Coturnix japonica: one gene and its partners. The protein of the gene in region 3 binds, or shares a complex with, the protein of the main gene of each other region. Links are inferred from orthologs where the notes say so. Each region holds a gene or a part of one and is shown on either strand. Other genes may lie near its edges. The genes, in order: RPTOR, MLST8, MTOR, DEPTOR, RICTOR, RHEB and MAPKAP1.

Region 1 (4,209 bases), on a different chromosome or scaffold from region 3:
ATAACAGGTACAACCCCTCCAGCCCTCTCTGAGTCTTTCAGTAGAATCTGGGAGAGAGAAAAGCACAGCAGAGGTGAATCAGATGGGAAGAAGGTGGCGAGGACCAGGAAGGGAAACAACAAACCAGGAGAGTGTGACAAAGTAGCACTCAGACAGAGACAGTTACATGTTGGTTTTAGTTTGATTAGCAACTGTAGACAGGTGTCAGAGGCCTCCAATGCTGACTCAGGGCCATAACACCAACTTCTCCTCACTGTGCTGCAATGCTCCACAGATAGAAGCAACCTTCTGAAATCAGCTATGAGACGATGAGAGGAATTCTTTATAAAACCAGAGAGCATAACCCAGCAGTAACGTGAATTCAGGAGGAAGGGAAGAAAGTAGTGTTCTTCAGCAAGAGGTAATTGCACAGAATGGCAAACTTGTCCAAATGAGAGCAAATAAAGCTGTCCAAATACACAGTGACAAGCACTTCTGAGAAGTTGTTTCAAGCTCACAGCAAAAACAGAAGGAATAATCAGAAACATTCTGACATGCTTCGACTTTCTTATTTCACAGAAATTAGTCTCAGTCTGCATAAGGATGAATGCTGGGTCTGAATTGCTGAGCTTTGTGAGACATGCAGAGTACTCCAAGAGAAAGAAACTGCAACCCCACAGGCGCATAATGCTGTAACCACTGCTCTGCTCCTCACTGAGATGATTCCCTTTGTATGTATGAAATGCACTATAACAAATACAACTGATTACTACTACCTCTTTACTCATGCTCGTGCTGTAACCTATTGATTATCAAGCCAATGACATTCCCAATTTAGAAACAGACAGCTCTGCACATCATCGAACAAGCAAACAGGAAGATCCACAGGAAGGCAGAAGGATCACTAAAATAGACAAGTAATCTCATCCCACCTCCACAGTCTAGTAGAGCAAACAGCTTCCATGCCAAAAGCCTTTAAAGGAGGCATACCTACAAAACTGTGTCCTGTGGCTCATCTAAATTAGACTCTAAACAAAAAATTAATTCAGTCCATTAATGATCTGCCAAGTCAAATTTTCAGTACATAATCACTCAGATGATCCTGGCTCTGCCACTGCTTCCCCAACACTCTGCAGAGCTGTTTGGGTGAATGCCTCTCTAGGAAATGAATGTACAGCATCCTCATTCCCAGTCATAATGTCTCTGGAAAGAAATTAAAGGAATGAGTTTCATCTGCAGATTCCAAGCTGAGGTCAGAGTATTACTAAAGGAAGTGGAAATGTAACAGAAATCTGGTCACACACAAAACCACATACAGCCATATACAAATATATATGAGTATCGCAACCATGAGACCCCAAGAATCCTCTGACCCAAAGCACATTCAATGAACTGTAGGACTGAAGCTGATTATCCTCTATGTTTCTCTGGTGTTTTGTATGTCTACCTATTTGTTTTTAACTTAAGTTGGAACACAGACACTGCTCTGGATTGATGACATCCCATCAGATGCCCATCACTCTTATATACAATACAAATTCTAACATAAGAGCCACCGTTCTATAACACTGCAAATGTTTCATCTAATAATTGTCCTCTGTCTCCAGATTCACATGAGCTGTTTCCTGTCTCTCAAACACACACAAAGAACACCTTAATTTTACATTGCACATAACACGCTGCTGGCAAACTTCAAAAACCACAACACTTCCTGCACCTTCACCACCAAACAAGCGTAACGACTGCATTCATTGCACCTCGTGCTGTTACCTGCTGATCCACAGCGCCCTGTGAGACCTCACTAATTTCATTGCCTTCACTGAAGAGCATCAAACTCCACTTACAGAGCTCAAACGAGGGAGATATTCAGTGTGTTGCTGTGATACATATTTGTCATAGTATCTCCTGAGTTGGACAGAACCCAACAAAGCTCTCTCTGTCTCTCACCTGCCGGCACACAGAATGAATCACACAGAATGACCCGGGTTGGAAGGGACCTTAAGGATCATGTAGTTCCAACCCCCCTGCCTGGCAGGGCCACCAAACATACACCTTTACTAGATCAGGTTGCCCATGGCCCCGTCCAACCTGGTCTTGAACACCTCCAAGGACGGGGCATCCACAACCTCCCTGGGCAGCCTGTTCCATGGCCTGCAGCCCCAGCACCATGCAGACATGGAAACCATGTTACCCCATCAGGATGAATGCCCACAGCCCTAATGGGGGACGAGCAGACCTCCTCCCTCCCTCCCTGCCCACCCCCTCCCTCCTTCAGCCATTACCCGGTCCTTCATCCTCCAGCTCTGCGCCAAGGACTTGGATCCCTCGATCTTCTCGCAGTGTCTCTTCTTCATGAAGGCCAGGGGCAGGTTCCAATCCGTCAGATCCGACTCATCCTCCTCCCCCAACCCCAAAAGGGGAGACTGCAGCAGCTCGGACTCCATCGGGGCGGGAGCTCCGGGCACTGATGGAGCGGCAGCCCCCGGCCCGGCTGGCGGAGGGGTCACAGCGGGCACAAAGCGGCGGATCAACCCGAGGGCGGCCAAGGGCAGAGCACGGCCCCAAGGAGCGCTCAGCTGCCGGGGGGGGGCCTGGGCCTCCCCTCGTTCCTTTACCCCCGCGGGCCTCGGGGAGGGAGCCGCGTCCGGCCCATGGCGGCTCCGCGTTCCCTCGGGACCGAGGGATCGGTGAGAGACGAGGCAGGAGGGGGAGGCGGAGAGAGGAGGGAAGAAGCGACCTGCAGCGCCGGCAGCGCGACTCCGCTTAGCAGCGCGGCCAGGAGGCGGCCATCTTCTCCGGCCCACAATACACCGTGCTACGGAGCGCCGAGTGGGACAAACAGCGCCGACTGCGGTTGCACATTAATTAATTAATTAAGTCCATTAACATCACAGAATCACAGAATGACCCGGGTTGGAAGGGACCTCAAGGATCATGTAGTTCCAACCCCCCTGCCTAGCAGGGCCACCAAACATCGCTCTCAATGCAGTTCTTCAGTGCCTTCACTCTCATCACTAACAAACCACATTCACGTTGATAACATCCGAGAGCTATGAGCAAAAACATGAGTTATCAAAGCAAACACACGTAATTTGATTTATATTAACTTCCAGTGATGCTTTCAGCTTCTTTACATTCACAGACACCCTATAGGCACAACCCATCTTCTTTACATTCACACTCGATATGCACAATCCGTTCTCCTGGCTGGACAAGGCAGTGTGTGAACAACTCATGTGGTTCAGCATTTCATGGTGCCACAGCATCTGCCATAAGGAACAGCTGCAGCCCTGCTCACCTCCAGCACTGACAGCAGCGATCAGAATGGGAGCAGTGATTGCAGCATCCATACACAGTGCAGATGGACCTCACGGCCGTGCTGCTGCTAATCCTGGCTGCCGACAGCATTAGGAGCAATGTACCAGTGCCTGTCCTGACAGAGCATGATGCTGAGTGGCCCAGGAGTGCAAATACCTCTGAAGGGCACAGCTGGTGGAGGACAGCGAGCACAGATGTCCCTCTATTCACATCAGCAAAGCTTGCAAGCAGTGGCTGGTTAAAAGCCAGGCCAGGTGTTTGCCCTGATCCCATGGCCTGTGCTGGGAAAGCTGTGTGTTCCCTGCTCTCTACCCCTTTATTTGATGGCCCCTCTCCCAAGGGAACAGCTGCATGCCCCACTCATCTCACAGCTCACACAACAAACGTTCCTCCAGGCTCTGTGCAGTGATTCAGGATGGAGCTTTGACTACCTCTGGCACTTAGGCTTCATCACAGGGGACACTGCAGAAGAGCTGGGGAGCATCAGAGACATACCCTGCTGGAAAACAGGGACCTGGCAAGGCTCCCTGTGAGCCTTCTGTGGCTCCACAGATGGTGAAACACTGCGAGTGCCTGCAGCCACGAGACACAGCCTGCACATGCAGGAGGGGCTGGGACATCACTGCCTGCTTGTCCATGATGTGCAAGTGCCACACACCCCATTTCCAATCAGACCTGGGACCCCCAACCCAGCCCATACATGAGCTTCTCCCCAGGAACCTCCCACAAGGGGACACTGCTCTGCTGACAGCGCCCAAAACAGGTGGGGTGACAATCTCCACGTTAAATACATATATATTATATATATATATATATATATAAATAATAAATTATAATATATATATATATATAATGCATGATGAAAAGAACTTAACATTTAGTGTTAGTGACAGTGAACTTGCAAACTGACCA
Region 2 (3,958 bases), on a different chromosome or scaffold from region 3:
GATCTTACATGTCTGATCTGCAGAACAGGTAGCCAAGAGCCTGCAAGGATAACACACGCATAGGTAATCTTATTAGTTATGCTGTACATGTAAAGGCCTCATTAATGCAGGCCTGGCACAATAATGAACTGAAGCCCTGCGTATTTAGTAATCAGATTTCTTTACCCCATATCATCTGCCTTACAAGATTCAAGCTGAACTGATCTGGTGGAGGAGCACACTCACGTGGAGTCAGGGCTGAACTTGCATTGCAGGGCATAACGGTTGTGTGCTGGGATCTTGGTCTTGGGGATCAGCTGGGTTACCTCCTCTCCAATGCCACCCGTCAGGTTCCACACGTAGCAGTTTCCCTGCAAGGAGATGGGACGTCTATGACTGGCTCTGTGGACCTCAGCCAAAAGCAGCCTAGACTCTGTGTCCCATCATAGCACAGCAAAACTCTATAGTGCATAGAAACTGGCTGCTTTTGCCCCACAAGGACAACCCAGCACTGCAAATCCCATCTCATGCCCAAGCTCACCGAGCTGTTGACAGCTGCCATGTAGCTGGCATCAGGGTCAATGTGCACAGAGTTCACGGAGACTTCAGGCTCTGGAATCAGCTGCTCATTGTGGTCTGTTTTCAGGTCCCAGATGTGAATGGCCCCGCTCTGGTCACCCACAATTAGCTCAGCCTGCAAGAAAATAGTGACAGGTACCTGAAGAACACAAGCCTAAGTGGGTTTTTCTCTGTCTCTCCTGCTCCAGGAGGGTAAGGACAGGAGCCAGCTGAAGGGCAGCAGCTCTGGCTCCAATCCCTGCTGCTCAAAGCAGCAGACAATGCTGGCAGCACTCCATTAAAACCACGGCTTTTTATCGACAGACTTACACTGTCCATAATTTTAGCAGAATCCCTAGAGGAGATCAGGTCATCAGATGCAGCTAATCCTGTACCTGTGACCCACGGCTTGCTTCAGGAGAAGACAATCATCCCTTGATATATTTAGCTGACTGTGTAGTGCAGAGGCATCTCCTGGACACCTCCTAGCCCACTCTTAGCAGCATCTGCAAATACAATTCTAACACAGCCGTGGCTTTACCCAGGCCATGAGAAATCCCTCTCTGAGAATAAGCAGCTTCACCCTGTCCATACTGTGGATCTATCTGATTAAATACTGCCACCTCTGGGCTAACTAACTGTCCTGCTCACAAGCCATTGCTTCTACAGTAACACAAAGTGATTATCTCACACACATGATTTATGCACAGTATTTGTTTTAATGCAACACATTCTGAGTCTCATGGTGCAGCAGCAGCAACATTTGGCTGAAGTCAGTTCCAAATGACCAATCTCACATTTAGTCCAGAACTCAGTATTTGTAATACTGAGTTTTTACAGAAATCAAAAGCAAAGAAACATTTCTATTATTCATATTTTTTAAAAGATTTGCTTTGAGAAAAAACCAACCTTATGCTGCTTTGTCTGCAGCTCCCACCCTGCAGCACCATGGATAAAGAATGGATCAGATGCGTTATTAACACTGCAATGATACGCATCGATTTCACCACCATGCCCACTAATGCATCCCCATCATCCCCATTAGCTCCATTTCTTTAACCCAAGTGACCTCTCTGACAGCTTTTGAACTGAGTGGTGGATCTCCAGCAAACCCTGAAGACACCACAGACCTTACTGGGGCTGTTGGCCTCTGCTTTTTTCTACTGGTAGCACTGCTTGTGTCCAACAGCCAGCAGGTAACTAGCACAAAGATGCTCAGCAAAAACCTGATGGTTCCAGCATGGATGCTGATGCTTGCTGCAGGTGCAGTATGAGCAAGACAGAAGCCAGAGACATCTGCTGGCTGCCAGCCCTGCTTGAGGATGTTTGTTCCCTGACAAGAAGCAGCAAAGGCAGGGGCAGGGCCACACTCTGCCTGCACCAAGCCTGGTCATGCAGCAGCTGCTCTGCAAGGGAATACATGGACGTGCAGCTGCAAAGCCACCAAGAGCCGAGGGGTCCATGCAACCAAGACCATGGGCTGAGCAATGCTCCAGACTGCCAAGCATTTGAGGGAGCATCACCTTTTCCAGGAAGGCCAGTGACAATCAGTGTACCTGGTTGGGGTGCAGGCAGACACAGTTAATGGGAGCATTGACTTGGAAGATCCGCTGGCACTGCAGGTTACGAGACCTGCAACAAAAAAGAGACCGAATGAGCCCACACGAGCCTGCGGAGGAATGTTCTCCCTGCAGCAGACCCCGCGCTCACCTGAGGTCCCATATCCGTGCCATGCAGTCCTCCCCACCCGTATACATCCAGCGCCCATCCTCGTGGAAGCCCACGGACGTGATGTTCTTGCTCACACCATCGTAATTGATGACGGGGTTGGGGTTGTTGGAGTTGAGGTCGTACATACGGATGTGTTGATACCCTATGGCAGCGAATGGAGCTCAGAAATACCAGGGGCACCCAGCGACCCCAAACACCCCGGGGCTCACCTGCGGCTGCGATCATGCTGCGGTCAGGAGTGATCTCCAGGGCGTTCACCTGCTGCCAGCAGTGCTAAGGGCTGTATGACACCGAGACCACACCGAGACCCCACCACCTACACCGGGCCCCCCCCTTAAGCTGGGACCCCCCCCCCCCGTTACACCGGGGCCTCCCCCCTCACGCCGGTCCCGGTGCAGGATACGGAGTCCTGGTGCTGCACGGTGCGGGTGCAGATGCCGCTGTGCGCCTGCCAGAATCGCACCGTGTGGTCGTACCCGGCCGTGGCCAAGATAACGGGGTCGCTGCCCACCGTGCCCTGAGCCGCGTTCATGGCGGCGGCACCGCGGAGCCGGTACGGGCTCTGCGCAAGCGGGTCGGTGATGTCAAAGGAGCATGCGCAGAGAGCAGCGGCGGTGAGGCGGGACTGCGGGGCGCTGTCAGCGCTGAGTGAGTCACATCCCGACATCGCCGCCAGGGGGCGCTGTGATGGGAACGGCCGCACCGAGCGGAGCGGGGCAGGGGGCTGGGGATTGATGGGGGTGTGGGGTGCGGGTACCGGGACACGGGGTGCGGGCACACGGGGCACAAATAGGGCACAAATAGGGCACAAATAGGGCACAAATAGGGCACACACGTCCCAGGGCCGGCAGGGCACTGAGCCAGCTCGCAGCAGAGTCCCGCCGTGCCGGTGCAGCGCTGCTGTCGGGCCCTTTAAGAGCGGCGGTGGCGGCCGTGGGGCAGTGCTCGTACCCGCGCCCGGGGGGTGCCCGCCCGGTACCGCACCTGCCGGTAAGGGGCGCTCCGGGGGCTGGGGCTGTCCTTTAGTACCGGGGCCGCCATGCGGTACCGCACCGGGAGGCGCAGCCGTTCCCTGGGGCGGCCGGTGCGTCCCTGTCCCGGGGGAGCGGGACCGACCGGGCGCGGCGGTACCGGGGCTGAATCGCGGGGATGCTCCGGGAGCGGGGGTGTGGGCTGGGCTCCACGCGGCCGCCCCCGCACGCACCGCCGCGCTGCGGCAGCGTGGGCTCCGCATGGCAACGGCGGCGGGACGGCCGGGCATTGCGCTGAGCGGCTCCGGGAGGTAAGAGGGGAACGGGGCCGGGCGCTGCGGGGGAGCGGGACACGGCCCCGAGATGCGCTCAGCCATGGGAGGGAGCCGCTGCTGCCATCGGTGCTGCAGCCCGGCACCGGCAGGGTCTGATCCGGGCAACCTGCGCTCTATTCGAGTTAGATAACGGATATTAAAAACGCCCGGTCTTGGCGAGCTGACAGCGTCTGTCCAAATATTTATCCCCGCTCTGATCAGGCGCTGTGTTGCCATGGCAGTGCAATTAGCGCTCTGTCTATGAACGGCCTTCCTGCGGCCAGGGGGTGCTGAGCTCCCCATACCGCTCTCAGAGCCCCATACCCTCCCGCACCCGCACAGCTCCTCCCACGAGGGCTGACACATCCATCGCCGGGCGGGATGGAAATGCTGCAGGGATGGGAT
Region 3 (3,500 bases):
GCCATCGTGATATGGCAGAAATCTACTATTCTTCAGAGGCTTTCTAAACTTCTGTGGGCTGCTGCCAAATAGCAGTGGGAAGTAAAGGAGATTGCCTTTGAATTCACTAGTTTATCGAAAAACAAAAAGATTTATTTACAGAGACCAATGCTCTTAAGTAATTCAAAAGACACATAATATTACTCTTCTGAATGAACACTACAAACCATTTAAAGAAATAATCTTCCTTCAGAACCAGAACACTTTCAAAATCAGCTTCTGCATGGGCAACAATGCCATCCAGTGGCTAATAGAAGAAAGTGCTCCTGTGCCTCATACTTACCTCAGACCCACGGCCAGCATAGGTTCCAGAAGCTCTTTAATGTCCTGCTGGATACTTGGTCCCATGGCTCGTGCCAACATACTAATGCAGGTGAAGACTGTAGCATCAACCTGCACAGACTTCTGCCTCCTGGAAAGAGAACACACAGTAGTTAATCAATATGAGCTGCTATTTTTCAAACATTTTTTCCTCATCTCATCAGTTTCTTCCTCTAACTTCAGCATACTTACTTGTGAGCAAAGTCCTTTGGTGGAAGAGCTGCTTTTATTATTTCAAGGACTTTTGGCAGATAAGCTTGAAACTCAGATCTGACAGCCACAGAAAGCAAACCCAAGGCCTGGAAGGCTGCTGTTCTCTCCTTCTCCTTCTTCACGCAGCTGAGAACATGGTTCATGGTGTCTGGAAGATACTGATCAGCTGCCCACAAGAGAGAACAAGATTGGAAGTCCTTTAGGCTTATACAGTTGCAGCAAATTTGTAACTATGTATTTACAGGTAGAAAATTAGGGTAAGGACCCTGCAACATAAAATTCGCTGGTCTAGGTGGGGGCAAACATGTCACTACATAATAAAACTCCCACAGCCTCAAAGGCTTTTTCTTCTTTTGAAAAATAAGTTCCACAGAAATGAAAGAGCTACTAGAGAACACTGCAACAGGTGGCCCAAGACACTGCCTAGGGATTATATACATGAACCTGAAACAAGTACCTCATTTTATAGTGATTGATTGGAAACTTAATGGTGATTTTCCAACCTACTTGGATCAGTTTGATGACATGCCTACAACTCACATATTCTTCTAAGCTTGCTTGACAAATCAGCTGAACCGCAGCAGCAGCTACTTCTCACTTTACGTTCAGATTTACTGGCAAAAAGACAATTTAATACTGCTCACAGTATTAAAGTCACACTCATTGTGATCAAGAGAACAGAGCTCAGCCCTAAACGTGACACACAAATACAAAAAATAAATGAAGTTCTACTTCTTAAGGTATTGATTACAGAACTGAGAGAACAGCTTACTATAAACCATTTTCTTCCTCAGACCAACACACCAATATCAGATGTCAAGTCATATTTACCCAGAAAAAAAGGCTGTCCTCCCACCACTCGCATGGAGGATTTTGCCTGCTCGTCTCCCAAGCACCACATTTCTACTTCTGCATTGTCTGCACAAACTCATCTGGGTAACTTCAAGTACAATTTCATTTCTAATATTTAGCTGTTTGTCTCCTCACCTGTGAACGCTGAAGGACGAAAAGCTGCCAGCCGTGGTAGGAGATTGAGAACTGTCATCTGGATCAAAGAGTTTTTGCTGGTTCTGCACTTAAGAACCCACTGGCACACCTGAAAGGATATGGATTGGGCTCTGAAGGATGGCTATTGGTAGTAAGGCAAGACTGCTTATTACCTGGGTACCTTAAGGCATCTATTGACATTTGGCTTCAGAGCCCATCAGGAAGACAGATAATGAACAAATTAAACCACTGCTCCAACAGAGAGAGTTACACATCACTGCACTCTTACACAGAACTACTGAGTTTTGATGCCCCAATTCAGCATTAGGCAGTATTGTCTGCCTAATAAGGACACAGAGGTCCATAACATTCAAGAGGCTGTGTTGTGAATTTGGAAAGGCAAGACTGAACACTTACCTGATCAAACTTCTCTTCCATTAGATCCCTGCAGCATCGACTTTCTACCAATGTAGACTTTGCTGGCACAGGTGAAGTTGCAAAACCCATGATTCCTTGGTGGGCGTTGTAACCCAGAAGACCAGCCAAAGCATTTGACTGAGAAGGCTGAAGAGACTGGAAGCTAGTGAAGGGAGTGATGTGGCGAGGTTTGGTACTAAAGCCCATCAGGTCTTTGCAATACTTGTCATGCACAAGCTGCTGCTGAGTGATCTCCTCCATCTCCTCTCTAAGGCGCTGGATAAAGGAGAAAAGCACATTTGAAAGAAAAGTAGGTGACCAGAAGATAACCAGTCCAGTGCTATCTAAATCTCCTAAGCAGTATGTTGTATCATTGATATCCAAATGGCTGGAAGACATCGACTAAGCTAAATTCAGCAAAAAATATTTGGGTATCTAATTTGAAACAAAAGAGACTGCACTCTGTATAACTCTTTTCTATCATAATTAATTCAATTAATAGCACTTTCCATCAGAGCTTGATACCTATTCAGCCCAAACTTGTCTTTTCTCTGACACTATCTAACTTGAAACAACCAATGCTCTGATCCATGTTCAGATCAATCCATTTCAAACACAGTGGTTTATTTTCACAGGTTGCTGAGCTGCAACCCAGTGTCAATCAATAGATTGGTAGCCAAAAGCCACAGTCCCCATCATGCTCATTTGCTCACCTCTCCCTCCATACTGCTGATCCTCACAAGCTCATTGAGGATCAATAAGGCACCATGGATTCGGTCATCACGGTTCATTCCTTTCTCCTTGGCCAAAGTTTCATCAAAACCCTTCTCAGCCTCTTCATATGTATGCTTGGGGAAAAGGAAAAAAAATTAATCTCAGTGATCATAACAGAGGTAAAGCCAGTGGAAAAACAGTAATTCATACTGCTAGCCAAAAATCATCTCCAAGTTGTAGAATCTGCTGCAGAATATTCTCTACAGCACTAATCAAACAGCCATGGTACAAACTTGATCCATAGCTGCACCACGTTTTTGAGCACAAGGAAGCAGAGTTCACAATATTTAGCTGCGCTACCCAAATTGTGATTGATACTAGGAAGCCTTAACCCAAGTGACAACAGCAGCAAAGCTGAACTTCAGACAAAGCTTAACTCTTCTAAAACAGCTGTTCCAAAATAAAGTGATTTTCTTACTCTGTACCACTGAGGTTTCTGCATTTCTTTTGGTTCCCGCTGAGTGGTGAGGATAAGGCAGGCTCTTAAGGCAGAAACAGCTCCTTCTCGAATGGCCTGTTTGGGATCCCACACAGCCACAAAAATATTGTCAAAGAACGGCTGTACTTGTTGAAAGAAGAAGGTAGGCACACTGATTGCCAACTCACGCAGTACAAGAACCTGGAGGTGGGGAAAGAAACAGTAAATCTGTGAAAATGAGCACCCATACACAAACCTCAATACCTAGAATGCAGCATCCTTTATTTAAACTGTTAGTGCCCAGGAGCCTGAGCTGTAACCAGTTCTGTCC
Region 4 (4,140 bases), on a different chromosome or scaffold from region 3:
CATCTTACACTTTACTCCCAAGTTATGCATTCCCCTTGCAGCATGCAACACCTGCCTTTGTGCACTTTCACCCAAATACACACAGTCACCTGTCCCGCTGCATCACTCCCAAAAGGTCTTATCTAGTATTTGCAAGCATCACTAAGAAGAGTACAGCATATTTCCTCGAATGCACGAGCATGTTGGTCTTCTATCGTCTGTTTGTCTGCCCCAGAGGCTTCTGAGATAACCAAACTTTGATCTTGAAAGCCCTTCGTGTTTTCATTTAGCATTAACAATTACACACTTATCTTGGGCAGGAAAAGGGAAACTTTAAATGCATGGTTAGCCAAAACTTGTCTACCAGACAGTCTTCTTCATCTATTCTGCAGTTGTTAACGTTTGGAAAACCCTTGTATAGAGCATAACAACAGAGAAACATAATGCAGCTACCAGAGATAGGGGAAGAGAGATGTCTTAGGGTGCAGTTTCCCAGGGCAGCTCCACATGATCCAACAGATCCCTACTGCCAGAATGGGAGATCTGCTTCTTCCCCACCACCCCCTCTCCCTCCTTCTGGCTCCATATTCCCACCATCCATCCTCTGGAGATGCTGGCAGTCATCATCTCACAAAACCAGCGTGCTGGTCACAATGGAAAGGTGCAGGGATGTGAGCTGGCACTGCATAGGACTACAGAACCATGGGCAAGATGGGAAGGGGAAAGGGAAGCAAATCTATTCTGCAGTAGCTAGGTGTAAATGGAGGCTGTGCAATCAAACCAGTCCAGGGTGATCTAGGCCATTTCTGATGTACGCATCAGGGAATGCCCATAGGTAACTTCATGGGACCAGGATGGGGAATAATTATTTTGTAGATGATCTTGGCCAAAAATAGCATCACATCTAATTACCTTAATAAATAAAATTAGGGACATGGTTTAGAGAGCAAGGTGGTGGTGAGTCAATGCTAGACTAGATGATCTTAGATGTCTTTTCCAACCTTAATGATTCAATGAAATTATAAGTGTCATCCTTGATTGTGACAGTAATAAGCTGACTGTGGGAGCCAGATTTGTTGAAGTTCTTCCATCCTCTCCTTAGAAAACAATTGCAAAGCTTTTGTTTTTACATTTAACTTCAAGGAATACAGAAGGTCTTAAGTAGATCTCAATAGAAATTTTGCATTACAGTTGAATATTCAGCTTTTTGTGAGGTGAGATGGAAGCTGTAGGAGTCTTGTCAGCACTTTAACAAACCCAGCACCCAAGCCTGCATGCTGATGTGTCCTAAACAGGCTGCCCAGGGAGGTGAGGTGGTGGAGTCACCATCCCTGGAAGTGTTTAAGAAACCTGTAGATGTGCCACCAAGGGTTTACTGGGCATGGTGTAATGGGTTGATGGCTGGAATAGATCTTAGTGGTCTTTGCAACCTTAATGATTTTAAGATCCTTTCAATCCAGGTTTCACTTCAAGCTGCTCAGACGAAGAATCTTAAGCATAGTGAAGTAGTTGAGCCAAACCACAGAGATGTTTACTGCCTGAATACGGCTATCACTGATGTGCACTGCACAGTGCCAACGGTGCTTGCCATGTCAGTGCTACCAGTACCAATGTCAGTGCCTGCAGAAGCAGCAGGGATGGCACCTTCCCAAGCAAGCAACATTGCTGCCATTCTGCACTGCTTGTCCAGCACCTGAGCAAAAAGTTCAAAGAAAATTCAAGCAAAAGCCACTGAGCACATCTTGTTCCATTCTCTTTCTAGTTACACATTTAACACACAGTAATAATAATGGGGTATTTCCTCCAGAATCACACGGTTCATCGACAAGCCGAAAGCCTTACAATTTCTGGTCTCCTCCGTAGTGAATGGGTTGAGACAGCGCACCGAGCACATCCCAGAAATTAAAAATTAACTGAGTCAGGCGTTGTAATTAACAGTTTCGGCGCCGCACAGCCCCGCTATCTCCGCGGGGATCCCCAATCCGCAGCGATATCGCAGCGGTCCGGGGGCTGCGGGCTGCGAGCAGCCGGGGCCGGGCGGGCAGCGGGGCAGGCGCTCGGCTTCCAGGGGGCACGTCTTCAATCCCATCCCTCCCGCCGCTCGCCGGGACCCCGGTCCCACAGCACAGCCCGGGAAGGGGCATGGCACCGCTTACCGCAGCTGCTCGCCGGTCAGCAGGACCTCGGCCATGTGCTCCAGCTCGGTCGCTTTCTGCTGCATACTGCTCATGCCCTCCTCCATCGCCGCCGCCTGCGGGCACAGCGCAGCGAGCTGAGGGGAGCGGGTTCCAGCCCCCGGCCGCAGCTGCAGCCGCTGCAGCCCCGATCCCCCCGCTCGTGGCCGGGGACACCGGCAGCCTCCCCCCGCCGCGCTCACCTGGAGGAGACGGAGCGCCGTTTCGGTTCGCTTCCCCCCCCCACCCCCTCCAAAACCCGCCCCGCTTCCCGTGTTATTGTGTCACGGGCGGGGAGAGAAACACATGGCTGCGGCCGCCACGGCACGGCTCGCCGAGGCAGCAGCGGCCCCCCCCGGCTGTCACACGGCAGGGAGGCACCGGCAGCCCCCGGCACGGGAGCGGCTCTGCTGGGGCTGCGCTCTGCCCCATACCCCGGCTATGGGGTGCGCGGAGATGCCCCCGGCCGCGCTGTCCGCACCGCTGCCCGGCTCCCTGCGCATCCCCCCCGCAGCCCGGGGGCCTCTATCACACGTTGCCCCGTTCCGCCGCACCTCTTTGTCCCTTTGGCGACGGCGACCGCAGAATTCCTGCGGGCTGAAATGCGTTTCTCTCTATATTCAGTCTTTGAGATTGGAAGTGCGAGGTCATGAACGCCCTTTGTTAGCACTGCTGGTGGAAAAAAGCAGCAGAATGGAAACAAGTCCAAGGCCACTTCTTGCAGTGGTCCGAGAAGGGTTTTCATTTGCAACAAAGCATAATCAAGGTACGCCTTGATTGCACACTCATTGCGCTTCTCTCTGCCTGCGCACACTGTGTGCATGGAAAACTGCATCTGCTTCGTATTTGTGATATTGTCGTAGCTGGATGACCATGACTGTGGTTTCGGAACAAGGACAAGCATTAACAAGGAATCACATGAAGGAATTGAGCCCAGTATAAACCAGGATGAAAATAAAGAGGTGGTTAATCTCCAAACAACCCATGTAGACTTGCAGTATTTATAACTAAAGGAGGCTCTTGATTAAAGTAATAATAATAACAACTTAGAGTCAAGGGAAAAATGGACAAGTAGTTGGAAAATAAGTGCAAGGAGGGCTAGGAAGCAGACAGGAGCCACGTCCAGCTGAGAAAATTCTCTGCTAAAAATAATTGGAAGCAAGGCAAGCACTTGCAAGAAGTTCCACATGTGCCTTCTCTGCTGTTACCCAGCATCTGTTCACAGCCACTTGTGAGATGAAAATTGGGCCAGCTGCACCTCTGGTCCAGCCCAGCACAGTCACTGTAGGGAATGTCTCAGTGTGTCTCAAAGAATTCCCCTGACCAATGGGTGGTGAGTGAAGGAAAACTGGGCCAAGGAGGGAAGACTGGGCCGGTAAGCAGAGCCATGCAGGTGGCTTTGGATCTCATGGGCTTGGTGCTGACACAGAGGTGGAGTGGGCCTGGGTGGCTGAGAGCAGGAATAGAGAGGAGGAAGAGGGAGGGGAAGAAGGGGAAGAAGCTGTGTTTCGGCAGTGACAAGGCAGCAGCTTGACTCTGTGTGCTTGTGGAACTGCAGCCTGAAACACATTTCTTTCCTTGCAGATCAGATTATTCTCACAGGTCAGTGCAATTTCCTGTACTGAATTATTTAATGCTCATAGGCTGCCATGTTTGCCTTTCCACACTGATATCCCATTTGTAATTTGTTCCACATGTTCACACTGAAGTATCTGACAGCCACAGTGTGCTTCAAGGGAAGGGATTAGGTATCAATCATCCCAAACCTGATGTCTCTCCTTGATGGTTAGCTGACATAACCCTGAAGGATCACGTTTCAGAGTCAAGAGCAAGAATTATGCTACATAAATTGACCTGTTTAGATGTTTCTAGCTTGTATGTTTTAATGCACAGACTGCTATAGAAACATGAGATCTAGTAAGAGATTAAACTGACCTGGTCCTCCCTCCCAGGCCAGACTGATCACCCAGTCTAACCGTCCACCTTC
Region 5 (2,978 bases), on a different chromosome or scaffold from region 3:
TTTCTATTGCGCTTTCTACTTTAAGTGCTATGTATTAAGCTGGTAACAAATGAACACGTGTGTTTTATTTAAATAAAGGTGATAGAACTTGTTTATTTTGCTTTAACTGAGAAAAAAAAACCAACACATGGAGTTGTTTGATGTAACCCCATCTAGTTACTAAAACAAATCTCTTGTACTCTAGCCTAACTGAGGTAGTGTTTGAAACTACTGTGTAAGATACGCCAGCCCCATTTTTGGGAACATTACATTACTTCCTTTGGAGTTTACACCACTATTTGGTCTACTGTGGTTGGCATTTTGGTTTTACAGATTTCTTATAACCAGTGAAGTCCATCACTGGTGTGGTATGTTTTCAGAATATTTCAAAACATTTCTTGACACAGATACATTATGTCTGTCACTGACTACCAAATGCGTGAATTTGAAGATCTGCTCCTTCTTTCAGTGGGAACTCATGAGAAGAATCTCAGGAACTAGACTTGGCTATGAGCAGCAACTTACAGATCTGCTTTATGAGAACCTGATGGTACACAGTGCACATAAGAACTCAGTGAAGTGATATCTGCAAAGCAGTGCTTATGCGGCAAGATGAAGTTTTCAATGAAAGCAAGTACATTTTAAAATGACACTAGGATTCATGTTTTACTGCTCACAAGACAACTTACTGAAATCCCCAGTAGCATAGCTCGTAAGAATACAGTTATGAGTATCACCTATCTTATAAATTTCACTTATCTTCACTTAAGTATTAATCTGACAATTATAAAAATGGTAAAAGTGAATGGATAAAAATACGTCCTACTTAGTACAGTCCAGCTGAATTATTCACCTATATCAAAATCAAAGGGTAACCCCTTCTATTACAGTCATTCTAACAAAGGTGGCCATGCTACTGTATATATACACATTTGCATATATTTATATTACCCTTGTATGAAGGCTTCTGAATTTTTAGATGCATTATAAAAGTGATGGGACTCCTATATTTTTCTTTTCCATTAGGCTTGCACTCTTTAGAAACTTCATCAGTTTGATAGAGGCATGTGTTTTCCTCATTAACAGTCACTGTATCATAGAACTTTTGCAACAAGTCTCAAATTCCAATATAAAATTTTAAGTTCTGTCGCTACAAAGTTTGGTACTTAAGGCTTTTCACTACAATTATTAGCACTATCTGACGCTTGATCACTCATCCACTGAAAACTCAATCAAACCTTTGTTTTTATAAAAGGCTGTTTTCATGGAACTTGGAAAACCGCTCACATGCCTTCTCACAAAAGCAGCAATGATTAAATGTCTTCAAGTCTAGTTTATACAATATTCATTTATCTGATACAAATCATGCCTGTTAAAGGTTTTTAGTTAAGAATAAGACCAACATTCACACTATATGAGCATGAGCGTAGAAACTGCAAACGCATGCATATCATTCAGGGAAAACAATTTGATTTCAGCATTTTAACTTTAAATGATTTGCTATTTTTAAATCAAACTGTAGTGAAAATCCTTAACTGGTTCAGATAAGATACATGTATGTAAATGTAATGAAAATGGAGAGACTGCTAATAAAACAACTTACAACTACAGTAACATTAAAATAACTTAAAGGAACCTCAGATTCAGAGGCTTTTCTTTCTGTCTGAAGTTACAAACCCCCCAAGTAGTGTTATAAACAGTACAAAAATCAACAGAAAAGATCTAACATTTATCCCCTGCTGTCAACGATCACAGCACAGCTCCCCATTGCTGGCAACGGAATGCACCCTCATCCAACTCCTGGGGTTTTATAATAAAAAAAAAAAAAAAGAAAAAAAAAAAAAAAAAAAGGAAAAAAAAAAAAAAAAAAAAAAAAAAGCAAGGCGTAATTCTGCTTCTCCAGAACAGAATTAGAAGTCAATCATAGGTGTCTCTGTGTGTTGTTCTTTTTTTTTTTTTTTTTTTNATTTAAGGTAAAAAATGAAATGAAAACTTGTGGAGGTGTTCAGTGCTCGGCTCTTGCATATACTGATAATTACTATTATTAGAACTACATAATGTTTAATAAATCCCCAAGGGACTCCATAGACTAGGGCAGTAATTGGTTGAGGAAGAAAAAGTTTTTCAGTTCATTCTTCAGGTACCAGTAGCTTCTGGAACAGTCTAAAAGATGATGCTCCAAACTTTATTATCCAGTCAATTGGAGGATGTCTGAGAATTCCAGGAAGTCTGTATGTAATGAACTCTGTGAGACAGAGGTCAGGATTCAGCTGATATATCAGTTACTGGTTGCTTTGTTGGTGCTGCTAAAATAGCCTCCGCTTCTTCGTGCATCTGAAAGAAGTCAGGTGAAATATTAATGTCATTAGAGATTTTACAAGAATAACATCGTAAAATTATCTTTTTTAATAAAACACCTGGAAGCATTTATTATTCATTGTAATGAAACCTGTACCCAGTTGTCACGTTTTGGTTCCTTCTGATTCTCTGCACCCTCCACTTACCTGTAAGAACTGCACATCTTGAAACAGCTCCTGAATGAACCTTCTGGATGGGAGTCGAAATGTGCAATGTGCTAACAGGTAGGACACCTCAGAATACAGGCATATGTCATCAAATGCTTGAGGATACTTCTCCTTAATTCTGATCAACAGCAAAGAAAACAAACATTTTTTTTTACAAGTACTGAGAGAAGGTTTCCATAATAATCTCTAAAATTGTACAATTAAATCTTCGCTTCCATAATTAATGAACTAGAGCTCTTCAGTAATAGGCAATGTAAATTCTACATCTGACAGACAAAGAAAAAATCAGATAGCACTGTCTTATAAAACCGGAAGAAACTTGCATCAAAAAGATGAACTAGAATATTCTGTACACCTTTTGGAACAGATATCTGAGATCACCTACTCTACAGCAGATACTGAAAAATAACTGCAAAGAGGCATCCGCATGTATAGCAGTACTAAAAACTAAATAGAGAGAATACAATATTTTAT
Region 6 (4,251 bases), on a different chromosome or scaffold from region 3:
ACCTCCCACATTTAATGTTTGCTAAGGGTAACCTACAGGAGAAAATATCATTCTGAATAGCTTCATAGTACCCTTGGATCCACATCACGTGCGTTATGCAAAACAAGAATGTTCTGCAGACGATGCTTTTGTCAGTATTTCTAAGCAGACATTAGAGAAAGATGATCTTTGTCGAATCCATGAGGGGCCAGGGACAAGTGTGGGATGGAACTGAGTGTACTTTCTAACCTCAGTGGGCAGCCATACATATGGGAGCACACCCAGTGCTAACATTGGGTGCAGTTCAAATAGCTCCTCCAGTAGGTGCTGGTTGGCCAGAGGATCGAGCAGGTAATTAAAGTGCTAATTGCTTTTATAGGAACTGAATGTACAAGCCAGATGTGTTTTGCATTTGGAACTTGAGTAGCGCTGTGTCCATGGGTTCGTATGCACTGAATTGCCATAAAAACATTGAACTGCTGGGTTACGTTTCCTAGAGGAAATTCATCGCAGACACAGGCAACAAAAGGCCGATGCTTTCCCATTTCTCAGCCTCAACATCTGTTCCTGATCTCAGTGTATATACACGCTCTATTTGTGCCGGCACTCTTTGTTTTGGAACCCAGACCATTGCATTCGTTGACCGCATCTGTTGGGATGTCGTTTATAATAAAACGATTATAACTCACCAACGATTGGTTGTACTGGTGTCAGTCACTCATTGCAGCGTTCTCTGAACTCCTTTGTAGCTCACAGGGTAAAACACTCTAGGAATGAAGATGCTGGATTAGCACTGGGGAGGGGCAAAGGGGAAGCCCTATTGCTAATGCTGCTGCTGGGAAGCCACAACCTCAGCACGGCAGGAAAGCACTAAGACTTATCCCAAGTAGAAGTGCTATGATACAGGTTACTTAGCCATGGAGATCCTGTAACTCACAGGGTTATAGGGCAGGAGATCCCGTAATCCACAGGGTTATAGGGCAGGAGATCCCGTAACCCACAGGGTTGTAGGGCAGGAGATCCCGTAACCCACAGGGTTATAGGGCAGGTGGGATGGGGTCTCTGGGCGGCCTGATCTGGGGGCTGAGGTACCATTTGTGAACCATGGCAGGGCATTGCAGCTGGGTGATCTCCATGAAGCCTATAAGATGGTCCCATGGCACTAGTAGAGGTTCATGTTGAGGTTAGGACTAACTCCTTCCTGTGGAGGACAGTCACACTGAGGTGATCCCGCCCCGCTCAGCCCCTCACACCCCACAACCCAACCGCCGTCTGGAGGCGCACCACGGCGCACGCGCGGCTTTTAACCCCCATCCAACCAATCCCCTCCCACGCATCCCCTTAGCCCCGCCTCCTTTCTTTGAAAACCGATCTCATCCAATCCCCGCCCTCTAACCGCGAGCAACTGCCCAATCAGCGCCCGGCGGGGCGTGAGGTGGGCCGGCATGACGCAGCGGGTTTGTGCAGCCGGCAGTCGGCGCGGTGTTGGCGGTGGGGGCGGTCGGTCGGTCCGTGCTGCGCTGCGGCCTGTGACGCGTGACGCACCGCTACGTGAGGGGACGGGCGCTGCCGCCGCGGGTTCCGCGCTCTCGGCCCATCGATCGCCGCCGCCCTCCAACCCCCCCCCCCCCCCCCCCCCCCCCCCATAACAACAACCAGCGCCGCATGAGGCTGACGGCGCACACGCAGCCTCCCGCCGCCCTCCGCCTCTTCTTCGTCCGCCTCCTCCCTTGATGTGGTTCGTGGCCGGGCGGGGGACAAGATGCCGCCGTCCAAATCCCGTAAGATCGCGATCCTGGGCTACAGGAGCGTAGGTGAGTGTTAAGGGGGGGGAGACGAAATGGGAACGGGTGGGTGGGTGGGTGGCAGGTGCAGGGCTGGGCCGGGCCCCGCGCAGTGCGGCCGGGAGGCGCCATGGCGGCGCCGCAGAGCGCTGCGGGCCCGGGAGCCAACGTGAGACTGTGCCCTTAATTGGACAGGGGACGGCACCGGGACGGGGGGGGGGAACAGCGGGGTGTACGGAGCTTTGTGCCCGTTTCCTCTGTCTGTAGACGTGTAGGATGAACGTACGGAGCGCTGCGGTGCCGGGATCGGGAGTGACTGAGTGGTGCGGTCGATACGGTGGAGGGAACGGGTGACATTCAGAGGGACCTCGACAGGCTGGAAAGCTGGGCTCGGGGGTTATGTTGAACCTAATGAGGTTCAACACTGTTTTGCAGTTGGGCAGGAAGAACCCCAGGCACCTGTACAGGCTGGGAGGAGTTGTCCTTGAGAGCAGCTCGGCAGAGAAGGACCTGGGGGTCCTGATGGACGAGAGACTCAACATGAGCCAGCAGTGCGCTCTGGCAGCCCGGAAAGCAAATGGGATCCTGGGCTCCATCAGGAGAGGGGTGGTCAGCAGGGATAGGGAGGTGATCGTCCCTCTCTACTCGGCTCTTGTGAGGCTCCATCTGTTGTACTGTGTCCAGGTGTGGAGCCCTCAGTACAAAAAAGACATGGGAGATTTTGGAAAGGGTCCAGAGGAGGGACAGGAAGATGATCAGGGGGCTGGAGCACCTCCCCTATGAGGACAGGCTGAGGGAGTTGGGTTTGTTCAGCCTGGAGAAGAGAAGGTTGCGGGGTGACCTCATTGCAGCCTTTCAATACCTGAAGGGAACTTACACCCAGGAGGGGAGTAAACTCTTGGAAAGGGCTGACAATAGCAGGACACGGGGAAATGGTTTTAAGTTAAAAGAGGGAAGATTTAGGTTGGATGTTAGGGGGAAGTTCTTCACTAGGAGAGTGGTTAGGCCATGGAACAGGCTGCCCAGGGAGGTTGTGGATGCCCCGTCCTGGGAGGTGTTCAAGACCAGGTTGGACGGGGCCCTGGGCAACCTGATCTAGTAAAGGTGTATGTTTGGTGGCCCTGCCAGGCAGGGGGGTTGGAACTACATGATCCTTGAGGTCCCTTCCAACCCGGGTCATTCTGTGATTCTGTGATCGTACGGCAACACTGAAGGAAAGAACTTCCCGGCGCCATCCAAGCCGGGAGCTGCTCTACAGCCCCACCAGATTCAGCGTCGTGGGGCACGAATGGAGCGGTGCGGCTCGGCATCGATCTGACTTAAAAGCGTAGATCGATGGGAAGGATAACGAGTGGCTGGGAAATAAACTGCTGTAGGAAGGTGCCGCTGTGCTGCTGAAGGGTTTGTGCTGTGAGTGGTGTGTCTGCGGTCGCACACTCAGCATCCGTAACAACGCCTTTTGCTTTTCCCAAGATTAAAAAAGGTTACATGAGTTGTTTAGATGCTGTGTGTGTAGCAGCAGCCTGGCTTCAAGGCTGGATAAACAGTGCTGTGTCTGTATGGTGCTGGAAGGGAGCAGCCTGCAGGAGGTTGGTGGTTCACATGGGGTGTCTAATACGGCACAGTCAGCCTCGGAGCTTGTCTCCTTATGTTTTCTTCTCCGAGTCCGGACTCAAACAAGCACTGGGCAGTGTGTGTGGGTAGGAGGAACGCTGTCAATTCAGTACATTGGATGGTCCAGGGGTAGATGATCCATTGAGCCTGACAGCACACATTGCACATAGCCATTATTAATGCCATTGCTGGTGTGACCCAGGATGATTTGGTGCTTGTATAGAAGGAGGTGAGCAGAAAGTTGCCTCCTGCCCATTAGGGTTTACTACTGTGCTCCTTCACCTGCAGCTTCATGAGACTGATGTGGTTTGGGGCTCTGTGGGACATGGTCTGTTCCATTAGGACAACTGCTTGTTGTAGACATACAGAAGAGAAGTAATAGTTTGCCTTTCATTAACCATGACAACTCTGTTGCCTTGCTTGTTCTTAGGTATAAATCTTGCATGTTTAAGCCACAGAGTTAAGTATGGGAGCTTTACGTTTCTAGGCAAATATTTACATAAAAGATCCAGCAATAGACGTGAGCTGTTGGGTGTTCTGTCATGTAGGGCTGTCAGATAAACAAGAAACATAGAGCATGACATGAAGTCAACCCAAGGATGCCTTGCAAAGTCCAGGAGAATTAACAGCATGGTTTGGCTTCAGATAGACTTATAGGTAAGTCTGATATCACGATGGCATGAATTCCACTTGAACCCTGGGTAAAAGACAGGATCCCATCCCAGATGAAATAAGGGATGTTACATTTGAACAGAGCTAGTTTTTGTCGGGGTGGGGGATAATTAATTCCAAGATCTGAAGGGCTGCTGAAGGCTTCTGAGCTTCCTTTTATAAATAGGGAACTGCCATTAACCTTAACGTTAGCTTTGACCCT
Region 7 (3,500 bases), on a different chromosome or scaffold from region 3:
GAATCTCAGTTACTTTTTGACAGTGGATAGTTACGTTTTGACGCCACCAGGAGACACTGTCCCATTCTCCTAGGGCTTATCTTGTTCCTTTTACAATGAGTTTTAGGAATATGGACTCTCATTGCTCCATGGACACAATAAACAGCACTGAGCTCCCTGGCTCTGCCCTCTGCCCAGTGACTCCTCCATACAGGAGCGCTCCGGCAACTGCCTGCCCTACCACCTTCCTGAATCAAAACTGACCCTGCAGCCACAATGGAAGCGATTTCAGACTGATACTCTCTGCATGTCTGAGATCCTCATGTGTCTGAGGAATTGTTCAGAGCCTTTCCAGATGTTAAGAAGTTCAAAGATATCACAAAGATGTGGAAATGGGTGTGTGACTCCTGAGCTGCAGCCTACCCAGTGATTCCTTGGTGCGGCACTGCTGGCGGCTACGGACAGCGGGCAGGAAACTTTAAAACACCACTGGCTACAAACAGCATTAAAAGGACACTCATAAAACGTGCATCTGTTTGTGTTATGTTCCCTACAACAGAATCAAGTCAGATTAAAAACATTCTATAATGAATAAAATACACCTATAAAAGGAAAGGACATGGCAGCAATAATTCTCTGGGCATCCAGCACACTGAGAGAGGGAGAGGAGAAAGGACATAAATAAAAAGGACTACTCACTTGGGCTCTTTTCTTCCACAAGGTCACAGGCACAGAGGAGTTCAGAATCGATTGAAATGGGTTTCTGCTTAATCCAAAACTTAGTGCTGGCCTTCTGATTAGTAACAGGGTCTATCTCTACCTTGTCTCCAGAAATACCTGAGATGAGAAAGAATAGAGAGCCACAATAGTGATCTGTTTAAGTGATTTCATATCAGCCATTTGACACACTTTATAAATCTTAAATGGGATGAAAGTATATTGCCCTTCTGGGCTTTTTGAAAGCACAGGAGCTTTTGAAACCAAAAGCAAATGATTATCAAAGTGCATTGATAATCTGTATTTTATTCTCCTGCCTTGTTGGGAAATAAGCATCCCAATGAGAAAAAAAAAATCACAGGAAAATTTCTTCTCAGCACACACAGAGCTCTTCTGGAAGCAGCACCTACATGAACTGCAGGATGTATATGAAGATACATTTTCAGTCATCACTACTATATGTGAGAGACACCATCACACGTCACTATTACATCTCCTGGGCAGCACACATACAACATGTTCTACACAAGGACAATATGTGTTTTAGTATAACAGAAGTGCTCTTTGTGGTAACCAGATACCCACAAACAAAGGCACCAGAGATCCCACAAATTTTACAACACCAGCATTTTGCAGCCAGCTCTGATGAGGCTGCAGTGATCACAGACTGGGAGCTGGGGAGCCCCTGGCCCCACACAGCCAGCTTAGATGGCTGGGTTGCACTCCCACTGCACACAGGTATGTGCCTCCACACACAGCATCCTGCTGCAGCCCTTTGGGGACAGAGTGTAGAGCATTCCTACACTATTGCCTCTCCGTATGTCTCCTGAGCTCCTGTAAGCAGTGTTTGTGCAGTGGGATGCTAACGGGGAGCTGCAGCCTGCATAGAGTGTTCATTGCATTTACTGCAGGCTTTGTCATGGCACTGCTGCACTGCGCTGCTGGGCAGGAGCTCACTGTTCATTGTCTGCTGATGGGACAGAACAAACTTCAGCCTCTTAAAGTCACAGCTTCCAGGTGAAGCTCACGGTACAGCAGAAAAAAAGGAAGCAACAAAGGGTAAATGAACTTCGGTTTACTCTTGCATCTTTGGAAAAATGGCAGAGAACATTCTCCTTTTCAGGGGCTTTGGCTATGATGCTTTTGAATACACTGCATTTGGTCTGTCTGAAGCAGGAGAAAAGCTGATTATAAAACCTCTAAGAGGTGCGAACAAATAAGCATTGGATGCCACAGTCATAACTGTCTCAACCCTCAAAAACAAAGTCAGTGTTTCTAAAAGCACAGTGCTGCAGAACTTGCAAATCACCTTTGTCAGTACTTTATGCACCTAAAATGAAAGCACACATAGCAAACAATGCATGCTTGCAGCAGCCTTCTTGCTGCTGTCCTTTCCACTGAACACAGGGTAACCTTCACTTTACCCCTGGCTGCTGAGACAGGTGGTAACAATGCCACTGACTCCCTCCCTGCTTCTATTAATCCAAGAATGCACTTTGTCATTAAGCATACGTCACATCAAAGATACCACATTTCAATTAAGCACTGTATCAAGAGTCCAATTAATACAAGGACTGTTGGAACTAGGTAATGGGAGCAGGCTGACTCTGTCTGGAGCCCACTTTGTTTTGCAATGTAATTTCGGACACATAAATTAAAATCAGTTTTGTTATCTCACAGTAATTGATTATTCATTATTGTTTCCTGTAACTTAATCAAAATACATGAAATTGATGACATAATAAAAAAGTCAAGGCAAGTTCTAGGAATAAAAGTGCAAATTCTTTGTGCACAACGGATGCTCCCCAGCCCTTCCTTTAGAAAAAGTCACTCCTCAAAAATATCCTTTAAAAATTTCACAGCATGGTCCTGCAACTTCAGCATTCACAGTCAGTCAATATTGTTAACGTACCTTGTTAATTTGATAGGATTTGTCAGGTAACTCCACTGGAAAATTATATAAAACTGTTCCAGATGAACAGATGATAGTGACATGAATTAAAGTGATAGAACAATAGTGGAATATAAACCAGAAATGACACCCAAAGTGGCTGTTGATTTATTGCCATCCTGAGTTTGGTTCTGGGCTTCCATGTATATTAGTGCTACAAATCTGGGTCCATTTAGCAGAGAGATGCTCATACATACATCACCAGCTCCTGCTCCAAGCCAAGGTCACTCCCCATTGCATCAATCTTTTCAGCAGAGGCTACTTCACCAAGCATGGATTTTGTTACCGTCTCAGATGTAACAGACTTCCTCCTCTTTCATCTTTTTTTTATCATGTAAAATACACTTTAACTTCTATTATTTTTATCTGCAAATTGTTGCTGTATACTTCATCCATTATTTCTGTATCTCGACATCACTGGCTTAAGCTCACACACATCCAAAGAGCACATTGACAAAGAATGCTGTCTTTTTTGTGTTATTGTTCTTGCAATCTGTGCGCGTTGAAACCTAAAATCAAAACAGCATTATGTATGTGGCTTCTACAGACTCTATCGCAGCGCAAATTTATTATACTCAGAAAATAAGCAAAAATACCTCTTCTAGGATTTTTAAAATTCATTCAATTTAGCAGCAGAAATGTCACAGCTGCAGTACTCCAGTAATGCTGCTCTGCCCCCACTCCCCTTGCTGGCTCTGCGATGCCCCTGCCCCACTGAAATGCTTTTTGGCAGCAGCTTTCTATGACAACGTGCTTCTTTTCATTTTGCTAACATGGAGCACAAGCAAATTTGTCTTATGCCTTCACAACATGACTGCACCTTGCTAAAAATGTTGGGAGCACTACTGTGAGT

What was found.
Region 1: the proteins of MTOR (region 3) and RPTOR are in contact, whole or in part, in a cryo-EM structure (PDB 6BCU), measured with the Homo sapiens proteins. The link is inferred for Coturnix japonica from reciprocal best matches to the Homo sapiens genes MTOR and RPTOR. Residues at the interface, in NP_001373429.1 of Homo sapiens: His597, Thr600, Pro632, Val644, Ser645, Gln646, Thr647, Ala648, Val649, Ala653, His686, Ala688, Gln689, Glu691, Met721, Asn722, Pro723, Ala724, Phe725, Met727, Pro728, Phe729, Arg731, Lys732, Leu734, Ile735, Leu738, Thr739, His743, Tyr771; in NP_065812.1 of Homo sapiens: Phe278, Lys282, Cys283, Ser285, Leu286, Pro288, Gln380, Ala381, Asp383, Leu384, Asp387, Glu411, Gln412, Thr414, Ala415, Val418, Trp419, Thr421, Met422, Arg427, Asn428, Glu431, Gln432, Lys973, Ile974, Asp979, Leu980, Glu981, Ser982, Lys986.
Region 2: the proteins of MTOR (region 3) and MLST8 are in contact, whole or in part, in a crystal structure (PDB 4JSV), measured with the Homo sapiens proteins. The link is inferred for Coturnix japonica from reciprocal best matches to the Homo sapiens genes MTOR and MLST8. Residues at the interface, in NP_001373429.1 of Homo sapiens: Leu2269, Arg2270, Met2271, Ala2272, Pro2273, Asp2274, His2277, Leu2278, Thr2279, Leu2280, Met2281, Gln2282, Val2284, Glu2285, Val2286, Glu2288, His2289, Asn2292, Asn2293, Glu2536; in NP_001186102.1 of Homo sapiens: Tyr20, His22, Asp42, Ser43, Gln44, Val45, Asn46, Tyr62, Asn87, Glu105, Gln148, Thr174, Arg221, Tyr222, Leu224, Ser268, Arg270, Gly271, Trp272, Trp274, Ser290, Lys313, Val316.
Region 4: the proteins of MTOR (region 3) and DEPTOR are in contact, whole or in part, in a cryo-EM structure (PDB 7PEC), measured with the Homo sapiens proteins. The link is inferred for Coturnix japonica from reciprocal best matches to the Homo sapiens genes MTOR and DEPTOR. Residues at the interface, in NP_001373429.1 of Homo sapiens: Met304, Gly305, Phe306, His1494, Cys1498, Trp1501, Gln1525, Asp1527, Ser1528, Glu1530, Glu1531, Cys1534, Met1535, Ile1536, Arg1538, Arg1547, Gln1554, Leu1556, Leu1559, Gln1562, Cys1563, Lys1566, Arg1683, Leu1685, Asp1686, His1687, Lys1710, Ile1711, Phe1714, Gln1715; in NP_073620.2 of Homo sapiens: Arg54, His56, Leu57, Lys58, Thr59, Tyr60, Pro61, Val101, Arg116, Lys119, Asp121, Gly122, Thr123, Phe124, Lys131, Ala132, Arg135, Arg138, Lys142, Glu177, Gly178, Glu179, Glu185, Cys304, Asn305, Lys307, Gly335, Asp336, Ala337, Val338.
Region 5: the proteins of MTOR (region 3) and RICTOR are in contact, whole or in part, in a cryo-EM structure (PDB 6ZWM), measured with the Homo sapiens proteins. The link is inferred for Coturnix japonica from reciprocal best matches to the Homo sapiens genes MTOR and RICTOR. Residues at the interface, in NP_001373429.1 of Homo sapiens: Arg1028, Asp1032, Lys1068, Leu1069, Asp1108, Asp1109, Tyr1110, Asp1150, Lys1187, Asn1196, Val1200, Gln1207, Asp1210, Val1211, Cys1214, Arg1215, Lys1218, Gly1219, Tyr1220, Thr1221, Leu1222, Ala1223, Glu1226, Glu1227, Asp1228, Leu1230, Ile1231, His1234, Arg1235, Arg1238; in NP_689969.2 of Homo sapiens: Leu204, Arg205, Gly206, Asn209, Arg245, Asp247, Val248, Glu249, Glu251, Arg252, Leu254, Thr258, Asp259, Phe260, His261, Tyr262, Arg263, His264, Ser265, Pro266, Asn306, Gly308, Ser311, Gly314, Val315, Cys317, Ile318, Pro319, Glu345, Ile347.
Region 6: the proteins of MTOR (region 3) and RHEB are in contact, whole or in part, in a cryo-EM structure (PDB 6BCU), measured with the Homo sapiens proteins. The link is inferred for Coturnix japonica from reciprocal best matches to the Homo sapiens genes MTOR and RHEB. Residues at the interface, in NP_001373429.1 of Homo sapiens: Arg62, His69, Glu73, Ala101, Thr102, Ile104, Gly105, Arg106, Asn109, Tyr110, Arg112, Asn113, Phe140, Glu143, Tyr144, Phe147, Glu154, Arg160, Thr969, Gln973, Phe977, Lys980, Glu1010, Phe1011, Gln1014, Met1018, Ser1050, Thr1051, Asn1264, Lys1293; in NP_005605.1 of Homo sapiens: Lys5, Ser6, Arg7, Lys8, Arg15, Pro37, Ile39, Glu40, Thr42, Gln57, Ala62, Asp65, Tyr67, Ile69, Gln72, Thr73, Ser75, Ile76, Asp77, Asn79, Asp105, Met106, Val107, Gly108, Lys109, Val110, Ile112.
Region 7: MTOR (region 3) and MAPKAP1 share a complex: the UniProt entries of both Homo sapiens proteins name them as parts of the mechanistic target of rapamycin complex. The link is inferred for Coturnix japonica from reciprocal best matches to the Homo sapiens genes MTOR and MAPKAP1.

What each region holds. Positions count from the first base shown.
Region 1 is NC_029533.1:4,901,798-4,906,006, reverse strand, and holds the start of RPTOR (regulatory-associated protein of mTOR), read right to left. Parts: upstream 2,801-4,209; 5' UTR 2,424-2,800; coding exon 2,262-2,423; intron 1-2,261. UniProt on the Homo sapiens protein: Component of the mechanistic target of rapamycin complex 1 (mTORC1), an evolutionarily conserved central nutrient sensor that stimulates anabolic reactions and macromolecule biosynthesis to promote cellular biomass generation and growth.
Region 2 is NC_029529.1:6,430,075-6,434,032, reverse strand, and holds the start of MLST8 (target of rapamycin complex subunit LST8), read right to left. Parts: upstream 2,801-3,958; coding exon 2,672-2,800; intron 2,530-2,671; coding exon 2,478-2,529; intron 2,411-2,477; coding exon 2,248-2,410; intron 2,170-2,247; coding exon 2,094-2,169; intron 674-2,093; coding exon 521-673; intron 351-520; coding exon 226-350; intron 41-225; coding exon 1-40. Other genes in the region: hexosaminidase D-like, read left to right, coding at 2,799-2,916.
Region 3 is NC_029536.1:3,612,817-3,616,316, forward strand, and holds part of MTOR (serine/threonine-protein kinase mTOR), read right to left. Parts: intron 3,371-3,500; coding exon 3,170-3,370; intron 2,826-3,169; coding exon 2,691-2,825; intron 2,254-2,690; coding exon 1,978-2,253; intron 1,670-1,977; coding exon 1,561-1,669; intron 740-1,560; coding exon 553-739; intron 452-552; coding exon 323-451; intron 1-322. UniProt on the Homo sapiens protein: Serine/threonine protein kinase which is a central regulator of cellular metabolism, growth and survival in response to hormones, growth factors, nutrients, energy and stress signals.
Region 4 is NC_029517.1:123,194,282-123,198,421, reverse strand, and holds the start of DEPTOR (DEP domain-containing mTOR-interacting protein), read right to left. Parts: upstream 2,801-4,140; 5' UTR 2,708-2,800; intron 2,428-2,707; exon of another isoform or gene 2,357-2,427; intron 2,231-2,356; 5' UTR 2,222-2,230; coding exon 2,136-2,221; intron 1-2,135. UniProt on the Homo sapiens protein: Negative regulator of the mTORC1 and mTORC2 complexes: inhibits the protein kinase activity of MTOR, thereby inactivating both complexes. DEPTOR inhibits mTORC1 and mTORC2 to induce autophagy.
Region 5 is NC_029547.1:11,150,918-11,153,895, forward strand, and holds part of RICTOR (rapamycin-insensitive companion of mTOR), read right to left. Parts: intron 2,623-2,978; coding exon 2,484-2,622; intron 2,314-2,483; coding exon 2,239-2,313; 3' UTR 1-2,238. UniProt on the Homo sapiens protein: Component of the mechanistic target of rapamycin complex 2 (mTORC2), which transduces signals from growth factors to pathways involved in proliferation, cytoskeletal organization, lipogenesis and anabolic output.
Region 6 is NC_029517.1:5,599,776-5,604,026, reverse strand, and holds the start of RHEB (GTP-binding protein Rheb), read left to right. Parts: upstream 1-1,451; 5' UTR 1,452-1,741; coding exon 1,742-1,793; intron 1,794-4,251. UniProt on the Homo sapiens protein: Small GTPase that acts as an allosteric activator of the canonical mTORC1 complex, an evolutionarily conserved central nutrient sensor that stimulates anabolic reactions and macromolecule biosynthesis to promote cellular biomass generation and growth.
Region 7 is NC_029532.1:8,139,174-8,142,673, forward strand, and holds part of MAPKAP1 (target of rapamycin complex 2 subunit MAPKAP1), read right to left. Parts: intron 817-3,500; coding exon 679-816; intron 1-678. UniProt on the Homo sapiens protein: Component of the mechanistic target of rapamycin complex 2 (mTORC2), which transduces signals from growth factors to pathways involved in proliferation, cytoskeletal organization, lipogenesis and anabolic output.